Linked DNA regions of Ovis aries. The protein of the gene in region 2 interacts with the protein of the main gene of each other region in a pairwise test. Links are inferred from orthologs where the notes say so. Each region holds a gene or a part of one and is shown on either strand. Other genes may lie near its edges.

Region 1 (3,515 bases), on a different chromosome or scaffold from region 2:
TAGATTCTTTCTGAATCCTCCTGCATACTATTAATCCTGCTCTGTCCTATTTTGCATTCTTGTTAGTTCTCCCGAATGACAGGTGGGGTTGTATGTCTTTGCAGGAAGAGAAGGAGAAGGTGCAAGCACAGAAGGAGGAAGTTCTTAGCCACATGAATGACGTGCTAGAGAATGAGCTCCAGTGTATTATTTGCTCAGAATACTTCGTTGAGGTAATGATGAGTAGTGGCTCACGCCTTCTCACTCTCCTACCCCTGAATGGAGCCTCAGCTACACAGACTGCTTTTGCTCTAGGGTAACATTCTGAAGAGATTTTTCCTCCAGGAACTTACTGTAGCTATTTGACTTCAAAGTGGCTGCTGGAGGTGGCCACTTCTCACTTGCCTCCGCTGGCTTTTTTCTTACTTCATTTGTTCTTGAGTTCTTTTTTTGGCAGAATCAGTGTTTGGGGCTATAATAAAGCCTTTATCTTTTTGTTGTTGAGGGAAAAACACTTTGGTTTTGAAGAACCATCTAGGGGCTGCCCCACCCTCCCACAGGTCAGAATGTCATATGTTTCCTACATTGCCGACAACTATGAGCTGTTGGGTTTTGTGGGTTTTGCGGGGTTTTTTTTTTTGCCTAGTGTTGAGCTCCTGAAGGTTTTTTTTTTTTTTTTAACTCCTGGGATCCATTTGATTCTGGCAGAATCCAGAATTAGATGGCATTAGAAATTTGAAGTATCAGAATAAAGCTACTCAATAAAGCTAGTCTTTCTTTGCTCTGAATGGACACAGTGCTGAGAGTGGGCGTGCAGTGCAGCCTTTGAACAAGGGGGTAAATGTCATTGAGGTATGCTCACGGGATTCAGTGGCCAAATGGAGCATTTTTCAGGGACTCGGAGGCTCCTTATGAAAATGAAACATCACGCCTAGGATTTCATTTGTTATCCTGTCTTCTTTTTGCATAAACTCTCTTATTTTCGCAAATTCTACCACTTGTGTCCAGTTCATCTTACACAACAAGTGTTAGACTAAAGTTGTTAAATGATAGTGCTTTTCAGACTCATTTAAAAAGAAAACGCATACACACACAGCTTCCTTTTTTTCTGGTGGCCTTTAGGGAGATTGGGTCTATTAGCCTCCTGAAAAATCTGTCCTGGATAGACCTGTTTCTTTTGCTTTGGATCTGCTTTGACTTCAGATCATAATTTCCCCCATAGTTTGTAGTCATTTGATTCCCTACTTTGGAGAAACTCAGTTAGTACTGTTTCGACATGACTTATGCACCGTAATAGAAGACGACAAGGAAAGGGGTCGGAATAAGTGATGAGTTAGCCAACATGGAGCGTCTGCACAACATGTAAGAGACAAATAACCTGATCTTTGTTTGGTTTACAGCATGTGCTGACCTTCCCTGCTGGTCCTCTTTTAAAATCAGTGTTGGGTTAGAGATTTCATTTTAGTCAGCAGGTTTTTAGTCCTGTTTATGAGAATTTTGTCTCATTCTTTATTTTTACTTTTTCTTTTTTTAGTATGTCTCATTCTTTACTGAGAATGTTTCCTAGTTGGCCTTCTGGCTTCCACTTGGCATTTGGAAAATAATACAAAGTTTGTGTTATTTCCCCCTGCTTTCCCAAAAGCAAGAAAGAAAACTTTTTAGCTCCAGAAAAAGTTGTATCTTAGGAGATACAAGAGAAACAAGAGAAACGAAGAGTATGGTTTATGTTTTGAAAAGTGATAAGGACCTTGGCAGAAAGCTGACCATTGGGGTTGCTCAGGAGCACCTCAGATACGGGCCCTTTTCTGCTTTCTCTCTTCTCATAGGCTTATTGATATTACTTAAGGCACTGTCAGCTGAACCCATTACATTTTTTCCTATTTTGTTTTTAGATTCTTTTTCCCTAGCCTAAGTGCTTTTACGTATACTTTTTAAAGCTTCTTTTGAGTAGAGATAAGGGCCTCCTAACATTCTGTGTACTGAGTATTCACTGTGTGAGTTAAAATCGAGGTTTTACTGTACCATTAGGACATACAGCTGTTTCTCCTGAGAGAATTAGTGATGCATGTGTATCAGACATGCGCATGTTTTCTAGTCCTGCTTAAGTCCAGTGGCATTTATTTGCGGGATAGCTAAGCCACGTTGGCAGTGTGAATTGAGTTGGTGGAACAAAATAAGACAAATCAGCCTACCTGGAGCCTGAGTTTATGAGCTTAACTTTGAGAGAGAAAACAAATAATCTAACATGAAACTTAAAATTTACAGTTCCTAGGAATGATTCTGATACCCTTTGTAAGGCCTCTAGATGAAGTTATGGTTTAATTTCTATTTCGTCTTGAGAACTAACTGCTTTCCTAACTCTGAGATCACAGCGGCCCTGGGGCAGTGAGCGTCACAGTTCTGATGTGTGTGTTCATATTTCCGTTATAGGCTGTCACCTTGAACTGTGCCCATAGTTTCTGCTCCTACTGTATCAATGAGTGGATGAAGAGGAAAGTAGAATGCCCCATTTGTCGGAAGGACATCAAGTCCAAAACCCGCTCCCTGGTTCTGGACAATTGCATTAGTAAGATGGTAGACAATCTGAACTCAGAAGCGAAAGAACGACGAATTGTCCTCATCAGGGAACGAAAAGGTGAGTGAGTATGGAAAGAGGTGAGTCCCCTCAACAGACTTTTTTGGATCCAGAAGAGTCAGGTAAACGGTTCTTGAGCTTAAGAAGGAGGTGGAAGTAATGGGGGAAAGTAAAGGAAGCTAAAGGTAATAGACATGTAAGGAACAGTTGAGGCAGAATGGAATATTTGAGCAGCAGGGAATGGGGAGGCTTAGGTGTTTGTGTCTTAGTTAAGGGATAAGAAAAGATGGGATTAGAAAAACACAGGGGTGGACAACTTACAGTGTTAGTCACTAGATGGGGCTGTCGTTCAAGACAGTTTAGTTGCTGTCTGTTGCTCTCGGTAGGTTGCAGAAATCTTGGGTTGGGTACACAATAAATTATAAATTATAAATAGGATGTGTACAAGTCAAAGATTCACAGCTTGGAAAATGCCAAAACATATGAAGAAAACATATATAGGTTCTATCTGTAAGAGTCACAGCTTAACTACACAAATCGGGCATAACATTAAGCCAAAAAGAGATTAATTTAATCCTACTATGTTAACTTCACTAGGACTAGTTTGACTCAGTTGTGTCAGACTCTTTGTGACCCCATGGACTGTAGCCCACCAGGCTCCTCCCTCCATAGGATTCTCCGGGCAAGAATACTGGAGTGGGTTGCCATTTCCTTCTCCAGGGGATCTTCCCGACCCAGGGACCGAACCCGGGTCTCCCGCATTGCAGGCAGATGCTTTAACCTCTGAGCCACCAGGGAAGCACATTAACTTTGGGTGTCCTAATAAACAAGTTTCCCAGAGAGAGTTTGAATAAAGAGATTAGGGAAGTGAGGGTGGGTGAGTTTCCTCAAGGAACCATACTTCCATAGAGAGTATCTCCTCCTCTAACACAAGTGATCTCATCACACCTGGGGCCTGCTC
Region 2 (4,181 bases):
GACCTTAGCGTGGAGCAATGAAGAATCAGAAGTATCAGTTATGATGGTTGACTTTTTACGGGGTATATGGGGAGTGGCGAGATCTGTGGAATACAGGGCATAATAAATTATTGTAAGTATATAAGCTATTGTGACCTAAATAAACAACAGAAGACTATCATGAGAACAGAAGAGTCATTTCAGAAAGAATTGTTCCCAAGTTTTGGTCAGAAGACTGAGAATCCTAACTATACAAACTTTTGGCCTAGAATTTTGGAATGTGTGGAATACTGAGTCGTTGGAAAGCCCGTTTTATTATAATCCCTTTCTTGACAGCAAAACCAAGGCCCCCCCAACATGAGGCACAACTCCAGGTAGTCTTTACTAGGGCAGAGGAAGGGCCTGAGGGGAGCTGGCAAGACCTAATGAGGTGACCCCCTCTAGGACTTCATATTTGAGAACACCTGTCTGGTGACAACTGGACCCAGGAAGCGGCGGAAGGTGCCAGGCTGCTAGGATCCTCATTTTTCTGGGTGGTCAAGACACTTGACGAAGGCAATGGCACCCCACTCCAGTACTCTTTTGCTTGGAAAACCCCATGGACAGAGGAGCCTGGCGGGCTGCAATCCATGGGGTCGCCGAGAGTCAGACACGACTGAGCAACTTCACTTTCACTTTTCACTCTCATGCCTTGGAGAAGGAAATGGCAACCCACTCCAGTGTTCTTGCCTTAAGAATCCCAGGGATGGGGAAGCCTGGTGGGCTGCCGTCTATGGGGTCGCACAGAGTCGGACATGACTGAAGCGACTTAGCAGCAAGACACTTGATCCATCTCTAGAACAAGTTAACGGTTGCTGTAGGCGCTTCGTTTACAGTTGACGCTGCTGACGACGGTTTGACCCCAGGCTGGGAACGCTTGTCTCCTGTACGAAGCTGGCAAAGGGATACTGAAAACGTCTTCCTTCCGGAGGAAACAAATAGGGAGTAGTTGTAGGCGGTTTGGACAGTTCAGCAAACTGCTTTGAATTTCTTGGGGAATTCCAGGCGGAACATTGCCCAGCGTAACACCGAAGATCCGGCGCCCATACGGCGAGGGTGGGAGGGGGTACTGTTCACGACATCCTAGCCTGGGGGGGACATCTTCCCTGTCCCATGCAGCCAATAGGCATCCCGGCTGAGGCCCACGCACCCAATAGCCGACTTCAACCGAGACCCACTCAGCCAATGGCCGGCCCAGCCCTTTCCGCGAGGGCCCGCCTGCCTGCGCCCACCAATCAAAACTCGGGCCACCTTGGCACCACCCCTGGAGCCCACCCCACCCATCCGCCCCGCCTCCAACTCGCTGGAGCAGGGCTGGGCTAGACGGGCGCGCTCTCGGGGGCGGGGAGGGGGGGCAGTCCCGGTCCTGGCCTTCCGCGCGGGTGGGCTCGGAGCAGGCCGCGCCGGGCAGCAACCCCACTCTCACCCCGGAGGCCCCCTGCCCTTTCTCCCCCTTTCCCCCCGGCCCATGGTGCGAGGCTGGGAGCCGCCGCCCGGGCTGGACTGCGGTGAGTGATCCCCAGCCCTTTCGACTTCCCCTTGCAGTCCCTGTACGATCTCCGACCTCCGGAGCCCCATCTCCGCGCTGGAGGGAAGAGGAGAATTCTAGGTTCGAAGTGGTCCGGTTCTCTCTCCTTTCTCCTCAGGACTTTTCGGTTCCCTGTTTTAACTGGAGGAGGGTGAGTGGGTGTATAGGAGGAGGGGAAGGCCGGGTTGGGACGCCCTTGGCGAGGGGAGGGTTGAGATTTGCCTGCTCCCTGGGGCTCATTGCCCCAAGTGCAGCAACTTTTTGTTCTCTGACCCAGTTTGGAGCCTTCTAGACTGCCTGCGAAATGGAGGATAGGAGAAACGTTTCCTTCCCAGGCCTCCCCTCCTCCCCTCCATGACTGCCTCCTGGCGACTTCAACACACGTACAGAAACCTGGCCTTATTCCTGGGGAGCATGGCCTTTGGGAATGAAAGGTTTGAGAGAAACTGCCCCTTCTGACCCCTACCCAGCCATACTCAGAAAACCAACCAGAAAAGTGAAAACCTGAGTCCTCAAAGGTTCCTGGTGTTGCCTCCTAATCAGAGACTTCTAAACTGAAAGAAGACTCAAGCTGAGACCTATTTGGTAATGTGGACCCAGATGATATATTTTATATGAACCCTCTTCTCACCATACATTTGAAGGGCTTTTTATGCTGAGGATAGGTAGGTGGCAGTAACTGAAAGTAAGCCAGTGAAAGTAGGGAATTTTTAAAATGATGCATACATATCCTAAGCATTGTCATTAAAAGTACTTTCATCTCACCAATTTCTTGGGTAAGTGTCCCAGCGTTTTCTTTGTGTTGCTGATTGGCAGTCCCAATTGTCTTTCTAATATCAACTACATAAGCAAATCTCTAATCTGGCTGCACCCTGAGAACTTTAAAATAAACTACTTTCATCTGCCCCAATCCAGGCTAAGTAAATCAGAACGAGGTGGATAGCGTGGGTTAAGTTTCCCCGGGGAATTTTTCTAATATGCAGTCAGACTGGAACCACTGCATCATCATCTGTGATTTCCAGGTTTGGTTTCTTTAAAGTGGAGACTGAATTTAAACACTTTTGAAGCAATATGAATGCAGAATACTTTTGAGATTTTTAAGTCTCCTGCCCCTCCAGTCTTTTACAGTTTTCTTGCCTTCTCCCAACTCAACAATTTTTTTTTAATGTGCATTTCTTTGTATTATGTCTTTCCAAAGCATTTGACTTTTTTTTTTCAGAACCAATTCTTAATGCACTGATTTTCATAGGTTTATAGGATGTTTAATTATATAGAGAAAAACAAGGGGCATAAGCAGATTTGGAATCACACATAACTGGCCTCAGCACATAGGGCAGCTGAAGGAAGTAGATGACTTTGCCATGCTAGAGACTAGGCTACCAGCCTCTAGTGTCCAGTGCACTGTGGGTATTGATTATGTAATCCAGTGGGGATCAGTTAAACCAAGCTCCTAAACCAACTGAACATCTTTCGCTTCTGTCCAGCTAATAGCACTAGTACCTAGTCCCTTCTAAACTAATTTACATTCTCTTTCAGCCTTCCAACCACTTGTTCCATTCATTCATAAACTGTTTTCTTAAAGCAATTACGACCATGCCTTTACTAAGTTGGGAGGACATAGGACAGAGTTTCTAACGGGCTTCTGGACAATCAGTAAATCCCCTGAGATAATAATTTATAATCTGTAAGTTTCAATGTTTGGGGCGGGATGCGAGGTAAGTCGTAACTTTCTGAGAACCTTTAACTTCTATTGTCAAAGAGAGTCATGATCCAAAAAGTGAGAAGCACATGAACTGAGTATCACTAAATGTCCTTTAAGGCCCTGAAAACTCACGAAAACACATCTCACTCAGGAACATTCTTCAGTTCTCTGAATAAAGACTTAGATAACTTAGCAGGCTCATATCTGGTCTTCACTTGAACTGTCACCTGTTTTAACCATAAGCCTAGGCTCAAGATTTTTGTTTTGGGCCACACCATGCCACATGTGGGATCTTAAGTCTCCTGACCAGGGGATCACACTCATGCGTCTTGCAGTGAAAGTGTGGAGTCCCACCCAGTGGACCACCAGGAAATTCCCAACCTAGGCTCAGGTTCTGAAGATCTCTTTTTCCTAACCTTGTGTGAACACCTACACTAGAAGTTTAAGGCAGCCCATTAATACTTTTCTGCCTTTTGTCCAGGGATATGGAAAGCCCAAAGGGAAATAAGGCTTTGACTTATTTCAGTACAGGCCTTGACTCTGTACTTTTTATTGGTGACTTAAGTAGCAGTAGGACATATCTGGCATGGTAACAGATTTAGTAAATTCAGAATTGATAGTACCACCATCACTGACACCTCTGCCCAGAGGAGTCCTTATTTCTCCAGCTTTGATTTCTTTCTTTTTCTACTTTCTCCAAATGAGGTACAAGGACACAAGATGCTATAGTGCCTTCACTGTGCTTTTGATTACTGTAGGATCTACCCTCTTTGTTATAGTTCTCATGAACTGGTTCTAGTTTCCTCCTATAGCAAAGCCAGATTCTTCCAGGGAGGTACCAGCTCTACTGCTGTGTCCTAATTTTAAAGCACCATTCTGTATCAAAGTCTTTCACAACTTGTGTTTTGTGTTACTGAAGAAATGTGGATGTAT

What was found. The genes of interacting proteins can lie anywhere in the genome.
Region 1: the proteins of HOMEZ (region 2) and RNF8 interact in binary tests that used the Homo sapiens proteins (3 or more experiments, as listed by UniProt). The two-hybrid records come from large-scale screens. The link is inferred for Ovis aries from reciprocal best matches to the Homo sapiens genes HOMEZ and RNF8.

Annotation. Positions count from the first base shown.
Region 1 is NC_056073.1:11,332,335-11,335,849, forward strand, and holds part of RNF8 (E3 ubiquitin-protein ligase RNF8), read left to right. Parts: intron 1-104; coding exon 105-212; intron 213-2,409; coding exon 2,410-2,614; intron 2,615-3,515. UniProt on the Homo sapiens protein: E3 ubiquitin-protein ligase that plays a key role in DNA damage signaling via 2 distinct roles: by mediating the 'Lys-63'-linked ubiquitination of histones H2A and H2AX and promoting the recruitment of DNA repair proteins at double-strand breaks (DSBs) sites, and by catalyzing 'Lys-48'-linked ubiquitination to remove target proteins from DNA damage sites.
Region 2 is NC_056060.1:21,427,902-21,432,082, forward strand, and holds the start of HOMEZ (homeobox and leucine zipper protein Homez), read left to right. Parts: upstream 1-1,374; 5' UTR 1,375-1,486; coding exon 1,487-1,526; exon of another isoform or gene 1,527-1,697; intron 1,698-1,823; exon of another isoform or gene 1,824-2,131; intron 2,132-4,181. UniProt on the Homo sapiens protein: May function as a transcriptional regulator.